5 linked regions of the Rattus norvegicus genome follow. The protein of the gene in region 5 interacts with the protein of the main gene of each other region in a biochemical or structural test. Links are inferred from orthologs where the notes say so. Each region holds a gene or a part of one and is shown on either strand. Other genes may lie near its edges. The genes, in order: Gtf2f1, Ccnt2, Ctdp1, Supt5h and Cdk9.

Evidence for each region.
Region 1: the proteins of Cdk9 (region 5) and Gtf2f1 form a complex in vitro, tested with the Homo sapiens proteins (2 studies listed by BioGRID, with this or other methods). The link is inferred for Rattus norvegicus from reciprocal best matches to the Homo sapiens genes CDK9 and GTF2F1.
Region 2: the proteins of Cdk9 (region 5) and Ccnt2 form a complex in vitro, tested with the Homo sapiens proteins (4 studies listed by BioGRID, with this or other methods). The link is inferred for Rattus norvegicus from reciprocal best matches to the Homo sapiens genes CDK9 and CCNT2.
Region 3: of the proteins of Cdk9 (region 5) and Ctdp1, one has a biochemical effect on the other in vitro, tested with the Homo sapiens proteins (3 studies listed by BioGRID). The link is inferred for Rattus norvegicus from reciprocal best matches to the Homo sapiens genes CDK9 and CTDP1.
Region 4: of the proteins of Cdk9 (region 5) and Supt5h, one has a biochemical effect on the other in vitro, tested with the Homo sapiens proteins (4 studies listed by BioGRID, with this or other methods). The link is inferred for Rattus norvegicus from reciprocal best matches to the Homo sapiens genes CDK9 and SUPT5H.

What each region holds. Positions count from the first base shown.
Region 1 is NC_086027.1:1,933,683-1,937,422, forward strand, and holds part of Gtf2f1 (general transcription factor IIF subunit 1), read right to left. Parts: intron 3,354-3,740; coding exon 3,160-3,353; intron 2,667-3,159; coding exon 2,496-2,666; intron 1,077-2,495; coding exon 892-1,076; intron 1-891. UniProt on the Homo sapiens protein: TFIIF is a general transcription initiation factor that binds to RNA polymerase II and helps to recruit it to the initiation complex in collaboration with TFIIB. It promotes transcription elongation.
Region 2 is NC_086031.1:41,802,364-41,807,003, forward strand, and holds the start of Ccnt2 (cyclin-T2), read left to right. Parts: upstream 1-1,682; 5' UTR 1,683-1,717; coding exon 1,718-1,875; intron 1,876-2,572; coding exon 2,573-2,654; intron 2,655-4,640. UniProt on the Homo sapiens protein: Regulatory subunit of the cyclin-dependent kinase pair (CDK9/cyclin T) complex, also called positive transcription elongation factor B (P-TEFB), which is proposed to facilitate the transition from abortive to production elongation by phosphorylating the CTD (carboxy-terminal domain) of the large subunit of RNA polymerase II (RNAP II).
Region 3 is NC_086036.1:76,169,532-76,173,439, forward strand, and holds part of Ctdp1 (RNA polymerase II subunit A C-terminal domain phosphatase), read right to left. Parts: intron 2,140-3,908; coding exon 1,973-2,139; intron 1,064-1,972; coding exon 17-1,063; intron 1-16. UniProt on the Homo sapiens protein: Processively dephosphorylates 'Ser-2' and 'Ser-5' of the heptad repeats YSPTSPS in the C-terminal domain of the largest RNA polymerase II subunit. This promotes the activity of RNA polymerase II.
Region 4 is NC_086019.1:92,720,169-92,724,076, reverse strand, and holds part of Supt5h (transcription elongation factor SPT5), read left to right. Parts: intron 1-15; coding exon 16-152; intron 153-2,456; coding exon 2,457-2,612; intron 2,613-2,723; coding exon 2,724-2,870; intron 2,871-3,834; coding exon 3,835-3,908. UniProt on the Homo sapiens protein: Component of the DRB sensitivity-inducing factor complex (DSIF complex), which regulates mRNA processing and transcription elongation by RNA polymerase II.
Region 5 is NC_086021.1:36,395,948-36,400,460, reverse strand, and holds the start of Cdk9 (cyclin-dependent kinase 9), read left to right. Parts: upstream 1-1,444; 5' UTR 1,445-1,488; coding exon 1,489-1,580; intron 1,581-2,028; coding exon 2,029-2,110; intron 2,111-3,424; coding exon 3,425-3,515; intron 3,516-3,893; coding exon 3,894-4,060; intron 4,061-4,171; coding exon 4,172-4,343; intron 4,344-4,500; coding exon 4,501-4,513. UniProt on the Homo sapiens protein: Protein kinase involved in the regulation of transcription.

The sequences.
Region 1 (3,740 bases), on a different chromosome or scaffold from region 5:
TAGCTCAGTGGTAGAGCGCTTGCCTAGCAAGCGCAAGGCCCTGGGTTCGGTCCCCAGCTCCAGAAAAAAAAAAAAGTAAATATCTAATATGCAAGTTATCTGATATGTGACCCCTGTGACCCCTACTTGTGTTGTGTTGTGTGGGGTTTGGGGAGCTTTTGTTTATTTTTGTTTTTGTAGACAGGGCTTCTCTATCTGTGGCTGTCCTGGAACGTGCTCTGTAGACTACCTTGAACTCACAGAGATCTACTACCCTCCGCCTCTGAGTGCTGGGATTAAAGACAGTGCTACCACCGTCGTGTTTCAAAGATAGGATCAGTGGGCTGGAGCTGTGGGTCAGACGTTAAGAGCACTGACTGCTCTTCCTGAGGTCCTGAGTTCAATTCCCAGCAACCACATGGTGGCTCACAACCATCTGTAATGGGATCTGATGCCCTCTTCTGTTTGTCTGAAGACAGCTACAGTGGACTCAAACATAAAAATAAATAAATCTTAAAAAAAAAAAAAAAAAGATAGGGTCGGAATTCTCTCGCCTCAGACCTGAGTTCTGGGATCACAGCAAGCACACCATGTCTTTTTTGTGTGTTATCTTGACAGGGAGACTGCACTCGGGTTGAGCCAATTCTTAGAGAAAGTGGAAGGCTTACCCCTCCTGTGCACTGTCCTCAGCCCACTCTACTTGTTCTGCCATTCAGTCACCAAAAGCCCTATCCCTATAATCAACCAGGCCCATGTGGCCTGCGGCACAGCAACCTTGAACATTTAAACAAACTGGTCCCATGGAAAGTCTGTAAGGTGCCATTCATTTCCTCAGTAACTCTGCGCCATGACTTCCCAGGTGGTGTTAACTCAGCATGGCCTTGTCTTGAAGACCTCTGGGTCCCCACTCACCCTCTTCTCCACTGGCATCACTGGCATCGGATGACATTTCCAGGTCATCTTCCAGGTCATGAATGCGCAGTTCACTAGGCTTCTTACGGCTGCGCTTCTCCTTCTCCTCCTCATCTTCATCCTGGTCCTGGTCCTTGAGTCGCCGCTGCTGCATGATGCTGAAGTGGTTCAGGACCTTGTTCCTCCTACACATGGGGACAAGTGACTGAGTACGTTGTGCAGCAGAGGCTGGTGGAAGATAATGACCAGGACACTCAGATGGGCACCGTCCTTTTCAGGGACAATGGGCATGACGGGGTAACCTCGTTAAGGCGCGCACACTGTGAGGAAGCTAAAGCAGAAAGACCCTGTAGGGTGTTAACCTGAGCCACACCACATGCAACAGAGGGGGGGAGGGGCAGGGCATGCAGCATGGGCCATTTCAGACCCCCGGATCTTGAAATAATATAGGGTGAGCCCTGAAATGGCCTCAGGCCCACGTGCACTTGAGCCCTCTGGGAACCCCACATCTTAGCTCCTCCAGACTCAGGGTCTGTTCCAGGCATATCCAGCCATCATATTGGTTAGCTAAATAATTTTTTATGCTTTTTCCTGGGAGGGGAGGGTTGGGGAGGGTTGTTTTGTTTTGTTTTGTGGTTTTGTGAGATAGGATCTCTACTGTCCTGGCTATCTTGGAACTCACTATGTTGACCAGGCTGGCCTTGAACTCACAGAGATACTCATGCCAATGCATCCTAGAGTGCTGGGTTAAAGGTGTACACCATCAGGCTTGGCCCAATTAAAATTCCTTTAAAACAGGATCTTATTGTGTGATCTTAGCTGGCATGGAACTTGGAATATACACCAGTCCTCAAACTCAGAGAGCCTGTTGCCTGTGTACCAAAGTGCTGAGATAAAAGGTGTGCACCACTGTGTCTGGAGCTCTGGGTGTTTTGCTGAGATAGAAGGCGTGTACCACTGTGTCTGGAGTTCTGGGTGTTTTGAAACCAAATCTTGTATAACCACAGCTGGCCTCAAATTTAATACAGCAGAAGATGGACTTGAACTCCTGATTCTCTTGCTTCTGCCATCTGTGTGCTGAGGTGTGCACTCACACTACCCCCACCCATACCCCCATCATTAATTTATCTCAAGGATTACATAGAGTAGGGTCTCATTGGACAAGGAGCTGTCCATGAACCTATGTGTGCCCAGAATAAGGCTAAGCATAGTAGGAGGAGCTGCTTTTGACATTTCAATCCCAGCCCTTGAGAACCGGCACTATTCCAGGCTTGTAGGCAAGCACAGAGCAACCCCATGGACCACATCAATTCCAACAGCCCTCTCTGGACACACAGGGCCCACCCTCAGCAGGTGTACACGACATCTTATGCTGTCCACTGAGTTTCTCTATCCCAGCTTCCCTGTACCCATCTTTGTTTCTACCTCCCAAGCTAGAACTGAGGCGGTTGCCATGAAGAGGCGCCTCCCTGACCCCCAGGCTGTGCCTATCTGTGGTACTAGCCTTCACTCAGCTCCCAGGCCTGCCAAAGGAAGCACTGCTTCCTGCTCCAGGCAGGCTTGCTCCAAGGGCATACACATTATAACCACCACTTCTGCCTCACCTCTCCCATTCCTCCTCAGCTTCCTCAGCAGTCAGTGTGCGGTGTCGGGCCAGCGGTGTGAAATTGTACCAGTTCTGCACAGGGAAGGCCTCGAAGGCGCCATCCGCACACTGTGTGAAGATGTAGTAGGCCGTGTTCTCTGTTACCCCGCCTTTCTTGATGCCCTTGAACCTGCAGAGAGCCTCAGTTAGGTCAGGACCTCACCCACAGGGCCTGCCTGCACTCCATCCACCCCCTTACAGTACCCATCTGGGCTCTTCTAGGAATGACAGGACAGAAAGGCATGGGCCACCACCTCCTTAACCAAGTACCACTCTGCCACCTTGTGGCCACCATCCTCACAGCTGCTCCCAGCCTATAACCCACCATGGCTACTGTGGGGCCCTACAGCATGCAGGCTCCAGCTATCAGTCCACTGAGTAACTATGCATAGAGTACTGGTCACTGGCTTTCTCAGGCTCCACCATCCCAAGTGTCAAGGTGCTCTCCAGGTCACAGTCAGGCTATTGAGCCAGGCCAACAGTCTCCAGTTTAAGATTAAACTTTGACAAGAGAGGTGGTCCTGGGCCCCCATCCTGTTGGGAACAGACTTGAGGACAATGTCTCCTAAGCATGCGTGTGTGAGGGACACAAGCTGGAACTCCCCACCATCAGCACCACTCACTTCCTCCCCGATTTGCCATTGACACGGAGTAGCCAGGGCTGGTCCTCAGGCCGGAACTCCTTCAGGACGATGCCATACTTCTTCCGGCGAGCCTCCTCCCTGAGCTTGCGGTTGAATTCACTTCCTGCACCAGACTCTGGCATCTCCTCTTCCTGGTAGATCTTCTTGTTGCTCAGATCTCGCTCCAGCCGTGCCTGGAGGGAAGCAGGAGCAGGGATACTCTCCTGTCGCGCTGTGCCAGGCCTCACGTGCCCCAGCACACCCGCATGCGGCATGAGGGCAGGGATATGAGCACCTGCTCTGCCCAGGGAGAGGGCGGTGGAGACGCCTCAGTGGATAACGTAGCTGCCTTGCAAGCATAAGGATCGGGAGTCCAGACCCCCAGTACCACAGACAAAGCTGGGTATGGAAGTGTGCATCTGCGACCCCAGGAGAACGGTGTAGACAGCAGGGTCCCTGGGACTCACAGGTCAGCAAGCCCCAGGTCCAGTTAGATACCCTGACTCAAAACTGTATGTAAAAAGGCTGGGAAAGATAGTACTTGCTATATAGTCTGCATAAAGTATAGCCTGCAAAAGGAC
Region 2 (4,640 bases), on a different chromosome or scaffold from region 5:
ATAATCAAAACACTAGTACAGTACAACAGGGCAGGCAGTAGGCTGAGGGCAAGAACCCCAAAATCCTGACAAATGAAAGCCTCAAGTTTAAATCAGAAACACACTAGCCCTTTTATTTTTGCTTTTAGGAGTTTTTTTTTTTAAATAGGGTTATTTTCTTTACATTTGTTTACTTTGCATGAGTGTGTACATACATGTGTGTCACTGAGCACATGTGAAGGTTAGAGGACAATTTGTAGCATTTGGTTCTTTCCCTCTACCATATGGGCAGTGGTGACTGAACGGATGGCAGCAAGTGCCTTTAGCCAGTTGGCCATCTCAACAGCCTTCACTGACTTTTTAGAAACAAACAAACAAACAGTTTTTGCTACCTTATTACAGTCTTCAGAAAATACTTAAAAACTAAAGTGTAATTTGGTCATATACAATAGGCATTAACTCGGAGGTAGATAACATGTAGCCAAGATGAGTGGCGCTTCCTTACAAAAAGATGGAATTAAATCATCAGCTACTTTATAAAATCCTAAACAAATTTTTCCCTAGTTGGCTTCTCTTGCACTCAGTTGGTACTGTTGGCCTACTATGCCTGAGGCCCTCGGTTGCAAACTGAGCACTTCAACCAAGATGTCGTACACCAGCCTATAATCCCTGCACTGTTTCTGGACAACCTGTGTTACTACGTTCTGCTTCTCCCCAACTGTCCCCAAATCCAACTCGCAGAAACCACACAGAGGTTTAAAACCATACACCCCATCTGGATGGACGATCTAGAGAGTCATGACCTCGAATTATTAACTTTTATAATGTTGGACAAGTAACTTGATAAGAAAGATATCCGCAGAGTGATGCCACCAACCTGTAATCCCAGCACTTCCGAGGGGGAGGCAAGAGGATTGTAAATTCAAGCTCATCCTTGGTTAAAAGAGTGAATTCAAAGCCAGCCTGGGACACATGACACATTGTTTTTAAAATAACCCATACTCCTTGAATGGCTTTAGGTTTAAAGTAACGTTTTAAAGGCGCATGCCCCCAACATCTACTAGCGATGTTTGAAAAAACACAGAAGACACTTAAGTGTTGATCATTGTTAGAATTAGCGTTCTTTCTTTCCAGTCTTTCCTAGCTAACTCCTCCCAGAGCCGACCTCCCGATACGAGGCCATTCGTGGGCACAGGGGTCAACACAGCTAAGAAAATACACCCACAAACATTTAAGAAAATGGAGGCTACCGCATGAAGCCGAAACTATAAAAGCCTTTTCTGACTTTAATGCACCCACGAACTCACAGACCAAAAACATTAAACGTTGAGTTGAAGGATAACGCCCAGGCCCTATTGGGCAGTCGCGTGACCTCTTCCTTGTCCGCCCCGCCCCTCCTCCTTAGCCCCCTCCCAGACCCAGCATGCACCGCGTCGACCTTTTATTTTTCGAGCGACCCCCTACTTTACGGCGCCTCCCAATGACAACAGGCGCGGAGCATTGTGGTCCCGCGAGCCAGAGAGACACAGAGGAGGGAGGCCGGAAAGAGAAAGCAAAAGACCAGTGCGAGCCGGCCGGGCCGGTCCCTGCGCGTGCGCATGGGTAGCAGCAGGCCCGGAAAAGGCGTGGCCCACTCTACGGAGAGCGCATTGGGGCGGGGCCTCAATGCATTGGCGCGGAGTCCCGGAGGCAGGCGGGGAGGGGGCGGGCTAAGGGTGCGGGCGGAGGAGGAAGTGTCATGGCGTCGGGCCGTGGAGCTTCTTCTCGCTGGTTCTTTACTCGAGAACAGCTGGAGAACACGCCGAGCCGCCGCTGCGGAGTGGAAGCGGATGAAGAGCTGTCGCATCGCCAGCAGGCGGCCAACCTCATCCAGGACATGGGGCAACGTCTTAATGTGTATCCTTTTCCTAGTTGCGGCCCTGCGTCCCACACGCCCCGGTCGCGCTCGCCGGGTGACCGGGCCTAGTGTCCCGGTAACATGGCGCCGTTCTCTCTCTGCGGTCTTTTGATCTCGGCAGAGAAACACAAAAAGCTAGGGCCCCAGCTGCGGCGGAGAGCCCAAGGAAGAGGAGATGTGCCGGGGAAGGCGGGCCGGGAGCCCGCGTTGTGTAACCTGTGTCGGGAAGCGCGTGATGCGGTAGGGAATAGCAGTGCTTCCCTGGCGAGAGAGGAATCCGGGATGAGCGAAGCCAAGGGGCGGCCCTTCCACTTCTTCAGAAGTCAGAAAAGGCCTTGAGACGTAGAAAGGTCCCAGATGTTTCACGGAAAGTGTTTTTCAAGGCTTCCTTGCCGGCTCCAGGGCGGCTCTGTTGCGCGGTGGGAACGCATAGAGATGTTTCATGTTCTTCGGGTGTGCGGCGCGCGCCTTTCGACTACTTTATTTCTACTGTACTAAGCTGTAGCCATTGCAAGTAACTCCTGGGCTCTTTCTACGTAGCGTATTAGAATAATTTGGCATTTGGCCTGATTTCTCTTCTCCCCGCAGACTTCTTACATTCAAGTTGAGAATAGGATTTTGTGTAAATGGAAAGGGGTTTTCCATTCAAATTAATTTAGTTTTTGCCCAGTTTATTTTCTAAACGTTGCATCCCAGCTCTCAGCTTACAATAAACACTGCGATTGTTTATATGCACAGGTTTTATATGCACCATTCTTTCACCAAATTCAACAGAAATGTAAGTACTGCTTTATTGTTTTAGTCGTCGAATGTTAAAATGAGTAGATACTGCAGAAACAAGTTGGTTGATCGTTGTTTTTACTATTAAATTGAATGTTCTGAGTTTTCCATAAGTGTGAGTTATGTAATAAACGTTTTGCCTCAAATGCAGAGGTGTGTGTGAGAGAGAGAATTTTATTAAACTGTAAGGCACAGAGTAAGCCTTTTGTTGTTGGATTTTGGTTTTTCTTTTTTCTTTTTTTTTTTTTTTTTGTGGTGGTGGGTGGTGGTTTGTTTTGAGACAGGGTCTCGCTGTGTGGGTCTGACTGTCCTGGACCTAAATATGTAGAGCAGGTTGGCCTTGAACTCAAAAGAGACACCTAGCTACCTCTTGTCTCACACTTGGGATTAAGGAATGTGCACCAAGCCTGACGGAGAAACAAGCGTGTTTTATTAATTTAAACTTTGCAGGTGGGGTGATTTATATTAGAATAATTTCAGTAATCACAACAGAATAATTTGGCCAAATCTAGTCATTGGAGAAGATACATTTAATTGTATAGGATTCGTTGTTTCAAATGTTAAGAATTGAGACTTGGGTAGTTACATTGCTTAGAAGTAATACTTTGAAAAGGCTACTGTTTAGAGAAATCCTGCAGTGAGGTTAATTACTGTGTGAAGAGGTTGTCAAGCAGCTTTGCTTTTGTCCCCTTACGCCAGTGTCAGCACTCCCAACTCACCACTCAAATACTGTGTTCGCTTTTGTTGAAGGAAGCCTGTCAGACAGTCTTTTCTGGTCTTGAATATAACATGTACATCTTGACATCTGGGTAGTTATTTTAATAAATAAATTAGTTTGTTTACTCTGAGACTGTATCACCGTGCAATGCAAGATGGCCTCAAATTCTTGCCTGCCTCAGCCCTCCTTGAGTGCTGGCCTGTGCACCATACATGACTTCTAACTGTTTTAAAGCTATCAAAATTACTCAGAATAACATGTAATACATTTTTTAGTCCCCATTCTCATATTACTTATAAATTTTAGCCCCATTAATTTTTCACTTCTTTATTATTTGCCTTGTAGTAGAATTTTGGTAGTGTTATTCTGAAAGGTACATTAGGAAAATAGGCCACGTAAGGACTTAACTTCTTTGTGGATAGTTTGTGGAATTCAGCCTCTCATTGCTAAGCAAACAAGTTTAGAAAAGTTTGTTACATTGTTGCCTTTGAAGTGGCAGAAATTGTATGGTTTAGATTATTAATTTCTGCTTTAAGTTCAACTGATCTTAAGTCTAACCTGGTTTATCAAGTTTGCAAATTGCTTTTTTTTTTTTTTTTTTTTTTTGGACAGTGGAGTTTTCTTTATAACTGGGCTTTTGCAGTCCCTCTTCTGTTCTCTTTTCATCTTTTTTGAGTCATGCTCTTTCCCGATTAATTTGTATCACTCTTAGATCAATTTTGGTGCTGTAGAGAAGAAAAGAACCTACTGTTTATAATGCTTATGCTAAGAGAATCAAGTTTTTATTTCAGTTCTCTAAAAGTAGCAATGAATTAGCCAGCACTAAATAAACTTGGCTTTTTCAAATAGCCCCAAATAATGCTGGTAAAAACTACAAAACTCTTTATAGAGCTGTAGATGTCCTATTTTTGTGAATGGGTTTGTTTTTCTATTTTCAGTAAAAGGTCTTTTTCTATTTTAACCACAGGTCTTGCTTTTTGAGCCCTTCCTTTATTTGTTTTTGTGGCCTGGTTTGTATGCTTTAAGCAAACATCCTTCCCAGTGGTAGAATCTGTCTCTTCAAATTTGCCTAGTTAGTCCAGGTCACCCGGTTCTTGCTTCACCACTGTGCTTATTGCCTTAAGCATATGAAGGAGTACTTGAACACTTTGTCTTTCCTGGCCGGATAATTGAAATGTCTGTTTGGGGAAGCAGCAGCATCCCTCCTACCTCAGACGTCTTTCTTGCTTCTGTTTTTGTTGCTTAAAGGTGATTTCAAATACTCAA
Region 3 (3,908 bases), on a different chromosome or scaffold from region 5:
GGATGGTGGCACATACCGGCCCGCGCTGCAATGAGGTGAGTGGCCCTGTCTGGAGCGTCAGGGCTCAGCACTAGCTGGGTGAGGACCTTGGCTCCCAGAGCTGTGGCATGATAGTGCTCACGAGTCTTCTCCACAGGAAAGTTTGTTGGGTGCAGCCCACTGAAAATGACGGCCACATCTGCTAGCACCTTGCTCTTGAGCTCTGGCACAATTTTCCGTATATCTGGAGCTTCCTCAAGCTCCTTGTTGAGGTATCTGTCATATTTTGTGTAATAGTCAGTGTGTACTCGCACTAGGATCTCCTCGAGGTGTATCAAGTGGTCATCGTCATCTGTGTCCTCTTCCTCTTCCTCCCCAACACTCTGGTCTAGGGACTCGCCTGCAGTGACACCTGACTGTTCACTGTTCTGTGACTCTGTCTCAGCCTCCTTCCGGTCCACACTGCCGTTGCCCAGGCCACAGAGGCTGTCTCGCTCACCCTCCTCCTGAGTATCTGGGTCGGACACTTTGTCATGTGGGTGGAGAGGCCCAGACTCTCCCGAGGGGCTTGCTGCAGACCTCCCCCCACTCGTGTCATGGGGCCCACTGTGCTGTGGAACTTTTGTTCTATCCTGGGTGGCTGGAGACTTCTTTCTGCGTCTCCTCTCCTCATTCTCCCCATCGGAAGCAGAGGAGAAGGACTTCTGGCCTTCTGACCTGCTGCTCTCACTGCTCTCACTGTCACTGGACAGGTCGAAGTCCAAACCTTGGGTGGCATCTCCCTGAGTAGGGTGCGCTCCTGGTGCTGTCCGACTGTCCCACTCACAAGACACAGGGAGCTCTGGAGCTTCTGTCAGCTCTCGGCCACCAGAGCTGCTGGCAGGAGAGGCACGGGTGAGGGACCAGGTTTCCTTCTCATCTGTTTTACTGGAAAAAACTCCTGGCACAGCCTCACCACCATTGAGCTCCCGGGAGGCCTTCCCAAGGCCATTGCTCTGTTCCACCCCAGGAGGTTTGCCTTCCTCAGGGTCCTTGACTGGCAGAGCTTGTTCCAAGATGTCCGCTCCTTTGGAAGAATGATTTACTAAATATACATACAAAAGGAAAAGTTACGGTTATTTAATGGTAAATAACTTTTGAACCTAAACCTCACCCTTCTCCAGGACAGTCTGAACTGTCTGTCCTCTCTGGCTCAGGCCTAGGGAAATTTCTGATCTAAGAGCTGACAATAACCAGCTCATGTCTGTGGCCATGAACAGACCTTCTGCCTTTGCAGCCTATATGGGCGGGTGATCCGAGGCAATGTCCTCATCTATGAAAAGTTTACCCTCGTTGTCTACTTCAGTGCCTACAGAAGCAATATATGCCTCTAAACATTCTATTTCAGTTCACCATAAAAACTTAAAACCAAAACTTGCAAACTGAACTTGGTGGTGCACACCTGTACCCCCATAGTTGGGAGGCTGAAGGAAGGGCCTGTGCTACATAGACAGACTACGTCTTAAAAGCTCCATAGAGAGAAATGTAATTTCCTTCAGACAACCTCTGGCTCCTGTGTGCCTCAGACTCGATTCCCTGCAGTTTTCACGCAGGCAACATAGACTGAGTCCCGGCTGTTTTCTAAGAATCTGCTGGTTCTTACAGGGGAACCACTGCACCCCACCTGTATCTCACACACACCTTCCTCCCTCCCTCCATGGGTGTACAATCCAAACTCCCGGGATGGAATGCGGTGGCATCACACTCAGACCAGTGTGGCGTCTCCCACCACTCCCCCCCCCTTCCCCTCCAGCACCAGGGACTGATTGTGGTAGACACAGATACAGCACCAGCCCCGATATGATTTTTAAATATCCTACTTCTCATTACGGAAACCCAACTGCTTCAGGAAAGTTGAAATACAAATAAGAAGCAAAACAGAATGAAGTGAATATTCCATTACAGAGATTAAAAATAAAAGATAGACATTTACCAAAATGCTATTTTCACCCACCTTTTTTCCTTGTCTGAGATTCCCGGGCCCCAGGGGGTGCGTTCACATCACCTGTGCCTGGGAAATAGACATACTTCTTCACAGTTATAAGGTTAGGGGCGAACTTCCACACATCCTCTCGGTCATCAATGATGCAAACCATTGAATCTCCACAGGGAAAGAGATTTCTATGAGCAAACACATACAGTTTACACAGAAAGTGGTTTGCCAGTTACAATAATCTTTTATTCTGCTAAAAAGAACAATCGAGGACTTTCAGCTATCTATGAAGAGCAGAGAGCAGAGTCCGTAAAAGGAAGCACGCTATAACAGGGGGCTTTCATATGTTTGTAATTTATTGTTTTCCAGAGAAAGTAAAATTAAAATATTTTTCTCCATTGCTTGATTCTCCTTAACAAAACTTTAAAAAATGGGTAAATATTTCAGTCACAGGTCAGAACACAGCCCTGAAAACTCAGTTTTTATAAACAATTGGGTCAGACCACATTAATAAACATAATAACAAACAGCGCAAAGGCCAAGTGCTCACCGGGCACCCTTACAGTGGACCTCGGCTGACCCTGAGCACAGCACAGGGAGTCTATTCCTGCGCAGTGCTTCCAGTAGACTCTATCACCCAGCCCTCAGACAGCTTTGCACTGAGGAAGCACCAATGCTACCTCCTGCCTTGCTTTGCCCCCAGTTTGCTCCCTCTATACTATCTAGCAATAGTATTCTTCTAGTTAATAATAACGTGCACAATTTTCAAATCTCCATGGATCTCTTAATCTAAAAATGAAACTTCAAAGGAAGATGTCTGTACATCCACACCCCGTTCACTGCTATACAGAACTGCTATGGTCCAGGTCTTAAGAGAAACACACTATAGAAACAAATGCCACTTGACACATGAGAACGGTGGACACAGCTCTCTACTGGTAGGAATGGGACACATCTTGTGCAAAATGACAAATTTCAGACATAGGGCTGCTTCCCAAGCAGGACTGAGGAAGAGCAAGCCCGGTCACAGAGCTTAGAGAAAGACAGAAAACAGACAGATGACAAAAAAGGAAGATGGGAAACAGCAAAGATAAAGCAAGTTTGGCTGTTTATTGGGTGTTATTCACTAGAGGAATGTACACCAGGCAAATTCCTAGGAAACTGTAACTCTGAGAGGCTGGCACTGGTGTCCTCATCTTTCAACCCAGAAAGTTGTGTGGAACGAAAACGGGACCTTCTGGCAGCTGCTGTGCTCACAATGCTGTGTGCATCCTACAGGCCCCGCACCTTCTCTGGCCTGCGCCTTCCTTCTCTAGGCTACTTTGCCTTCTCAGCCCTAAACCTTCACCTGTGTGGTCAGTGCTTCACCTCTGCAGCAGTGAGCTCTACCCTGAGGCCTAATCTCTGAGGCCAGCTGGTAAAGGGCGACATGGAAGGCAATGGCTGAGGTGGAGAGAAGCTAACACCCAGCATGTGTGGGGAAGACGACCATCGCGCCTCTTCTGAACCACACAAAGGTAGTTTCAGATCAATATGGCCTGGAATAGGGAACAGGACAGGAGGACACAGAAAGGGTTGGGTTCTCTCGGGGCCTGTGGTGCTCTGAATGAGAATGGACCCCATAGGCTCACATTTCCATATGCTCCCTACAATGACAGACTCACACTCTGAAACTGTGAGCAAGCCCCTAATTAAATTCTTTCTTTTATAAGTTGTTTCCGTCATGGTGTCTTATTACAGCGACAGGACATTAGCAGAGGCAGGGCCCAAGCATCCAGAGCAGGAACAGGACCCACGTGGGAGGAATGCAATGCAGGGTCTAATCTAGAAACGACCTGTCTGAGTACTCTACGGGTTATGCTGAAAGTTGGAGGTTACATTCGTAGAAAATGTTAATCACAGAACTATTACGCTACTTCTCAAAATTCCATTTTTAAAGAGGAAAGTGAGTAGTAAG
Region 4 (3,908 bases), on a different chromosome or scaffold from region 5:
GCACTGTTCCCTCAGGGAAGGAGCGAGAGCACAATTTCCAGCCTGGTGACAATGTGGAGGTGTGTGAGGGTGAGCTCATCAACCTGCAGGGCAAGGTCCTCAGCGTGGATGGCAACAAGATCACCATCATGCCCAAACATGAGGACCTCAAGGTGAGGCCACAGGCCTGACCGTGTTTGGTCATGGCACGTTGTATGGAAGATGTTCAGGCAGTGTTTTCTGTCCTTACAGAGGACATGTTTGACCTTTTTTGACTCCGTGTGCTAACGGGTCTGCTGAGAGTATTTAGGCCTACTTTCTGTGATTAGGGAAGCAGGTTGAAGCAGTTGAAGTCTCAGGCCTGATTCTGCCTGTCTGTAGGGGACTGTGTGGGTTCATGCTATGTCCTGGGCTCTGTCCTGTGTATAGGGAAGACAGTGTCATAGTGACACGCGTATGTGCGGGTGTTTAAAGGAGAGGAAGAATGCATCCAAGGGACACCTCCCTCACCCTTCTTTGGTGCATGTGTGTGGTACTCAGGATGGAGCCCAGGGCTTTGTGCATGCTCTATAAGTGCCCTACCCCTTAGCCTCACCCCCAACCCCTGCTGATGACTCCTAGGCATGTGTTAGACCACTGAGCTACACCATCAACCCCTCACTAGTATCATCCAGGCAGGGGCTCACCACTGAGCCAGGCCCCAGTCCCTCACTGGTGACGTCTTCCACTGAGTCCCCCTTTTTGTTTTTTACATTGACTTGTTTTGCATGTGCACATGCCACAGCATACGCATGGAGGTCAGCGTCTGTTCCCTCCTTCACCAGTCTTTGCTCAGGATTGAACTCATGCTGACAGACTTGTCCTAAGTTCCCTTACCACTGAACCATTTTGCTGGTCACCTTTGCCTTTTTTTTTTTTTCCTTCCTTTTTTGGAATCAGGATCTCCCTATGTAGCACTGGCTGAACTGGAACCCACCATGTAGGTCAAGCTGGCCTTAAATTCATAGAGATCCGCCTGCTTCTGCCTCCCAAATGCTGTGGTTAAAGGCATTTGGCACTGTGCCTGACTTCCTTTTACTTACAGAAAAAATGTTTTTCTTAAATTCCTGTGTATGTATATGAGGAAGAAGGGCAGGATTTAGAGCTTGGGTTATCAGCTTTGGCAAAATGCTGAGCCCTCTCACTGGTTCTGTTGACTTTTTTTTTTCCTTTTTTTTCGGAGCTGGGGACCGAACCCAGGGCCTTGTGCTCGCTAGGCAAGCGCTCTACCACTGAGCTAAATCCCCAACCCCTCTGTTGACTTTTGAGTCAGGAACTTGCTAAATTATTCAGGCTATCCTTGAACTTGTGGTCCTTCTGCCTCATCCTTTCTAGTAGCTGGAATGATCAGCTTGTGACCAATAGATCCCTATTATGTGATGTTTCCTGATGTCTTGGTTAGGGCTTTACTGCTGTGAACAGACACCATGACCAACACAACTCTTATAAGGACAACATTTAGTTGGGGCTGGCTTACAGGTTCAGAGGTTCAGTCCATTATCATCAAGGCAGGAACATGGAAGCATCCAGGCAGGCCTGGTGCAGGAGGAGCTGAGAGTTCTACATCTTCATCTGAAGGCTGCTAGAAGACTGGCTCCCAGGCAGCTAAGACAAGGAAGGGTCTTAAAGTCCACGCCCGGGGCTGGGGATTTAGCTCAGTGGTAGAGCGCTTGCCTAGGAAGCCCAAGGCCCTGGGTTCGGTCCCCAGCTCCGAAAAAAAGAACCAGAAAAAAAAAGTCCACGCCCACAGTGACACACCTACTCTGACAAGGCCACACTTCCTAACGGTGCCATACAATAGACCAAGCACGTACAAACCATCACACCTGATATGTTGTCGAGTGGCTGTCTTAGAGTCTGTCATGAGATAATAACATGGTTTGTCTTTTTTTTTTTTTTTTTTTCTGGTTCTTTTTTTCGGAGCTGGGGATTGAACCCAGGGCCTTGCGCTTCCTAGGCAAGCGCTCTACCACTGAGCTAAATCCCCAGCCCCATGGTTTGTCTTTTGTTGTTTCTGAAGAGCAAACAGGAGTAACCTGAGGTCATAGCATGCCTTCAGTCATTGTGTGTGTGTGTGTGTGTGTGTGTGTGTGTGTGTGTGTGTGTGTGTGTGTGTGTACGTGTGCGCGCGCATGTATGTATGATGAGTTATTGGTGCCAGTATTCAGTGTCTTGGGCTAGGGAATGGAAGACTGTTGCAAGCGAGGTCCATGTATCTGAGGACAAGTTGTCTGTGGGTTCAGGCATGTGCATATGGCTCATGGGTTGGTCATCTTTGGGGTAAAAGGTCTCCCTGCCTGGGGCAGCTCCCTGAGAAGTGTCTCGGGTGGGTGGTAGGAAAGCTGCAGTGTCTCTTCTGTGATTGAGGGGATGCAAGGTGGGCCCAGTGATGATGGCTTTTCTTGAGTACTTACTGTTCCCATGGCCAAATTTCCCAGGACATGCTTGAGTTCCCAGCTCAGGAACTTCGGAAGTACTTCAAGATGGGAGACCATGTAAAAGTGATTGCTGGCCGATTTGAGGGTGACACAGGTCTCATCGTGCGGGTGGAAGAGAACTTTGTTATTCTTTTCTCAGACCTCACCATGCACGAGGTAAGTGCTTGGAAGAGCGTGGGATAGGCATTGGGTACTAAGCGGATGCTCCAGTGGGTAATTCCCTGGGGCCTGCCTCGCTCCTTCCCTCCTTCCCCTGTCTCTCCACAGTTGAAAGTGCTTCCCCGGGATCTGCAGCTCTGCTCAGAGACAGCCTCAGGTGTGGATGTTGGGGGCCAGCATGAGTGGGGTGAGCTGGTGCAGTTGGATCCCCGGACTGTAGGTGTCATCGTGCGGCTGGAGCGAGAGACCTTCCAGGTGTGTCTTACGTTACGCTCCTATCCCAAGAGCATGTCCTTGGAGGTAGTAGAGCAACGTAGTGGCCAAGCCCACAAAGTGCACTGAGTAGCAGGCCTGGGAAGGCTCCCTGAAGCCTGTTTGTGTAATGTTGGCAAGTGGCCTGTCATTTTTCCTGCCTGCCTCAATTGTCACACCTCATTGTAAAGTATGCTCCAGTTTTTGGAGCTTTTGAAAAGATGGAGTGCTGGGTTGGGGATTTAGCTCAGTGGTAGAGCGCTTGCCTAACAAGCACAAGGCCCTGGGTTCGGTCCCCAGCTCCGAAAAAAAGAAAAGAAAAAAAAGAAAAAAAAGAAAAAAAAGGAAAAAAAAAAAAGAAAAGATGGAGTGCTACGGTTGCCACAGTTCTGCCCTCCCCCACTTCCCACCCCCATGTGTACATTAGCATAGTACCTAGGACCCTGAATCTGTGTCAGCTTTGTTGCTTCTGTACTGTGTAAAGTAGGACTTGTGATTGTATTCCTCTCAGGGAAGTGTGTGAAGAGTTTAGGAGGGGTGGGTAATCAGTGGGCTCCTCCTCTTATGCCCCTGATGCTCAGTCAGGAAGGCAGAGTCCCCTCCTAAAGCATTCCCTGCCTTCCCCTCCCCGGCTGAGGATGACCTTGAACTCTCCATTCTCCCGCTTCCCCTGAGTGCTGAGATCAGTGCATTTACCAGTCTATGTGGTGCTGACAATCAAACCCAGCTTCATGCATACTCAGACAGCACTGTGAACTGAGCTACACCCCAACTTCTCATAGAGTCTTTTGGAATAATCTAGAATGTCTGTGGCTGACCTAGGGACTGGTGGGTGGTGCTGTGACTTTGCCTCATGGTCAGGATGCTACGTAGGACTCAGGATCTTAGGGTTGTCTCCCCCAAGGAAAGAACAGCTCACTTTACATCACCCTCCCTTCTCATCCTCTGCATCCTTCTCCCTCCAAAGGTTCTCAACATGCATGGGAAAGTGGTGACTGTAAGGCACCAGGCTGTGACGCAGAAAAAGGACAACCGCTTCGC
Region 5 (4,513 bases):
ATGAGGCATGACAAACTCTAGAGCCAGCCTTATCATAGTGTGACCAGGAGCAGACAACCTCTGATTTCTGATCTGAGATTTCTTCTGTAAAATGGGTTCATATTTTTTTTCTGTAAAACCCAGTTCACATGTTTGTTTCAGAATGTCCAGCAGATATCTCTCTCTCTCTCTCTCTCTCTCTGTTATTATTTCCTGGTTGTCCTAGAACTCACTCTGGAGATCAGGCTAGCCTCGAACTCAGAGATCCACCTGCCTCTGCTAAGTGCTGGGATTAAAGAGGTGCGCCATCACTACCCAGCTCATGCCCAGCATTTCAAAAACGCGCAGGAGTGCCTGTTCAATTTTAACCATTTTTGGGATGATTGACGCAGGACAGACCAGCTTAGCCGCAGCTCTGTGAAGGAAGGCAGTAGATCCATCCTTGCCTTCCTGACCACACAGGATCCAGGGTTTAGGCCTGAGCGTCGCCGCGCCCCCTGGCGGCCGTCAGTTGCCATGTCAACGGCGGGTGGCTGAGACGGCGGAGGCGGCAGCGGGGGCAGTTCTCTCTTCCCCGGGCCTCAGGCCGCTCCCTCGGCACCTCCTGCCTTCGCCTCACTGGGAGCACACTCCCAGCCCTGGAAGAAGGGCCCTTCTGTGGCAGCTGGCATTAGGGGGGTAAACTGAGGCACGCAGCAGGGCGCCGCAGGCAGGTGTCTAGTGCGGAGCCCCACCTCCAAACGCAGAGGAGGGGCTGCTAGCAGTGACGCGCCGAGGGCGGACGCTGGACTGGGAGCGGGAGGGCGGGAGGCGGCGGCGGCAGGTGCGGCCGCGGAGGGTGGGAGGAGGAGGGAGGGGGCGGGAGGGGGAGGGGAGGCCAGGACGGGGACCTCCCCCTTTATAACGCGCCCCCTCCCGGGCTCTCGGGCCGCCTCCTCGTCTGCTCTTGCTATCTCGCCCCCTTTCCTGGCCGCCCCGGGCCGGGTTTGGCCAGGGAGCCCCCGCCCCCAGGCCTTCCCCACACCCCCACCCGTCGCCCCGCGCAGCCCGGCGGAGGCGGCGCCGTCGGAGGAGGAGGAGCAGGGCACTGCGGCTGGCCCCGGATCGGGAGCCAGAGCGGCAGCAGCTTCGGCAGCAGCACGGCCCGGGCCAATGCAGCGGGACGCACCGCCACGAGCCCCAGCCCCAGCGCCACGGCTCCCTGCGCCCCCGATCGGGGCCGCCAACAGCACTAGCGGCGGCGGCGCAGGCGGGGGCAGTGGCGGCGGCGGAGGCTCCTCTGCAGCTCCGGCTCCCCCTGGCCTCCCGGGAACTACAAGTCCCAGGGGGCCTGGCGGCGGGCGGAGACCGGAAGAGGCGGGCTCGGCACCTCGAGGCCGGAAGTGGCCTTGGAGGCGGAAGTGGCGCGGCCGCGGAGGGGCCTGGAGTGTGGCGGGACCGGGAGCGGCGGGAGCTGCGGCTGGGGGCGGCGGCGGCGGCGGCGGCGGCGGCGGCGCGCTGGAGGCGGCCATGGCCAAGCAGTACGACTCAGTGGAATGCCCGTTTTGCGATGAGGTCACCAAGTACGAGAAACTTGCCAAGATCGGCCAAGGCACATTCGGGTAAGATTAGGCCGCGTGGGACCGGTAGCCCAGGACCTGCACTTTCCATGGCCTATATCGGGTCGTTCAGGGCCGGGGCCCGAGGTGGTACGGAAGCTTCTATTTCCTTGATTGTTGCCTGGTCTTGCTAGGCCGCGCCGCAGACGCTCCCGGCCTAACCGAGCGGACTGGCAGGGAGGAGCCTGAGGCCCGTGATGGGGGTTGGGTAGGGTTGCTGAGAGGAACTCAGTTTGTGAGCGGACACCTCTGGGGGGAGGAGTGGGAGCCGAGTAGGAGTAAGAGCAGGGGCTGGGAGAAGGACAGAAAACACGTGGTGTGGAATAACAGCTTACAGGAGTCCCGGGCCGCACCCCACCGTGTGTCTGGTCTCCCGCTGCTCCTCTTCGCGTGGGGGAGGGGCGGTCCCTGCGGAAATGCCTGATGGGTCCCTCGGGTCTTTGTGTTGCAGGGAAGTATTTAAAGCCAAGCACCGTCAGACCGGCCAGAAGGTGGCTCTGAAGAAAGTGTTGATGGAGAATGAGAAGGAGGGGGTGAGTATATGGACCACTGGGCAGTTCTTCTAACCTGTGCTCGGTTTCCACACTGCTACTTAAAAGGGTTTTGTGCTGAGATTCCACCCAAGTATTTTTCGATTTTCCGTGTGACAAGACATTTGGCTTTCCACTTAGACTTTTGAGTTTTTGTGGCAAAGTTCGGTGGGAGGCAAGTGAGGGAGCCTGTGCTTTGCGTGAAAGTGCACGTTGCCTCTAGAAGTGGGGTTTTTGAAAACTTCCAGCTTAGCGTCGAATTTTGTTTTGTACGAAGGGACAATTTGTGCACAGGCAATTTAAAAGGCAGCTTAGCTTAAGGCGTGTTTTGAAGCATGATGTCCCCGTCTTAGCTTTAGTACAGCGTTTTCTTTGTAAGGAAAAAGCTGTTTGACTATTTCCTGTCTATGCGTGTCTTGTTTTCTGGTGTGGCTGTGTACAGCATGCCTGTCTGGTACCTGGGCACCTGAGGAGACCATGCTAGGCTGCCTTGGATCACTTGGGACTAGAATTAAAAAGATCCACCATGTAGAGGCTGGGATTGAACCTAGGTCCTCCGGAAGAACAGCCAGTGTTGTATGTGTGTGTGCATGCATATGTGTATGTCTCCCTGAAATAGGGACTCAACATAAGACTTGTTTAATACAAAAATCTCTCAGTATCCCAGCTGTTCTCAGACTCGCAGAGGGTCAACTGCCTGTGCCCGGAGTGCTGGGAATAAAGGCTTGGGCTGCCACTCTTAGCCAGGACTGGTTTGCTTAACTATTCATCTATCTCTGGACCCAGGGAATTTCTTGATTTTAACCCACAAGCATTAGTGCCAAAGATTTTGTCCCTATTTGAGTTGTCTAAAATAAATTCCTGGCCCAGCGTAGAGGGCTATGATTGTAGTTCCAGCATTTACGAGGCCAAAGAAAAAGGATGGTTCACAAGTCCAAAGCCGCCATTGTCTAGATGGCAAAATCTAGCAGCTCCTTGAGTGAGATGTGTGTGTCCTTTCACTTACCTTCTGCTTTACAGAGACTGGTTGCAGATAAATATATTTATTTTCCCCTCAAGCAAGAGCTCAACTAACCAGACTGGCCTTGAACTTGGGACAGTTCTACTCTCTATTTGACTCCTGATAGTAGGATTGGATTCCAGACAGGAACCGTCTGTCACACAAAAACTATACTCTTACCTGCCTTTCAACCTCTGTCCCTCAGTATAGATCACACACACACACACACACACACACACACACACACACACACACACTTTTACTTCATGGGTCTGTTGCTCTCAATTTTGACCACTTCCTCTCTTTCTCCTCCCTAGTTCCCCATCACAGCCTTGCGGGAAATCAAGATTCTACAGCTCCTAAAGCACGAGAATGTGGTCAACCTGATTGAGATTTGTCGAACCAAAGGTACGATGCTCGTTCTCGGGATAAAATGAACCTTAAACCTTTGCTTGCACTCCTGAGGTAAATGTGCTTAATGCCTCCTCCTGACTTGACTTGATCACACAGCTTCCCGATCTGTTTTGTTTTGAGACAGGGTTGCCCTGTGTAGCCCTGGCTGTCCTTGACCTTGCTCCATAGACCAGGCTAGCCTCACACTGCCTCTGCCTCCCTAGTGCTAGGGCTAAAGGCATGCACCACCAGTGACTGACCACCAGCTTCTCCGGGCTTTCTCCGATGGAGTTGGGTGTTTGTGGATTGGAGGGCTGGGAGTTGGCTGTGGAAAATGAGGTGGGTGCAGGTTTTTTATTTTCCCTCCCACCCTCTCTCCCTATTCTGCACCAGCTTCACCCTATAACCGCTGCAAAGGCAGCATCTATCTGGTGTTCGACTTCTGTGAGCATGACCTCGCTGGGCTGCTGAGCAATGTCTTAGTGAAGTTCACGTTGTCTGAGATCAAGAGAGTAATGCAGATGCTGCTGAATGGCCTCTACTACATCCACAGGAACAAGGTGAGGCCTGGGGCCGGGACAGACTGGGGCTTCTTTGCTCTTCACTGCCTTGTGGGTGGGTCTCTGGGATACTATGAGACCTGACCGAGCTCTCATGCGTCCTCCCTGCAGATCCTGCACAGGGACATGAAGGCTGCCAACGTGCTCATTACCCGAGATGGGGTCCTAAAGCTGGCAGATTTTGGGCTGGCTCGCGCCTTCAGCCTAGCTAAGAATAGCCAGCCCAACCGATACACCAACCGTGTGGTGACATTGTGGTACCGACCTCCGGAGCTCCTGCTCGGTGAGGACTCCCGAGCGGGCAGAGGGGGGCAGGGGCCGGGTACTTACCTGGCCACAGCCCCCGTTGCCGGGGGCCTCTTTAGCCATCAGCCTTGGGACCTGGAGTCTCAGGAGGCCCTCGGGCTTAAGAGGCACTCCCGGTACCCTCTTCTTCTCAGGAGAGCGGGACTA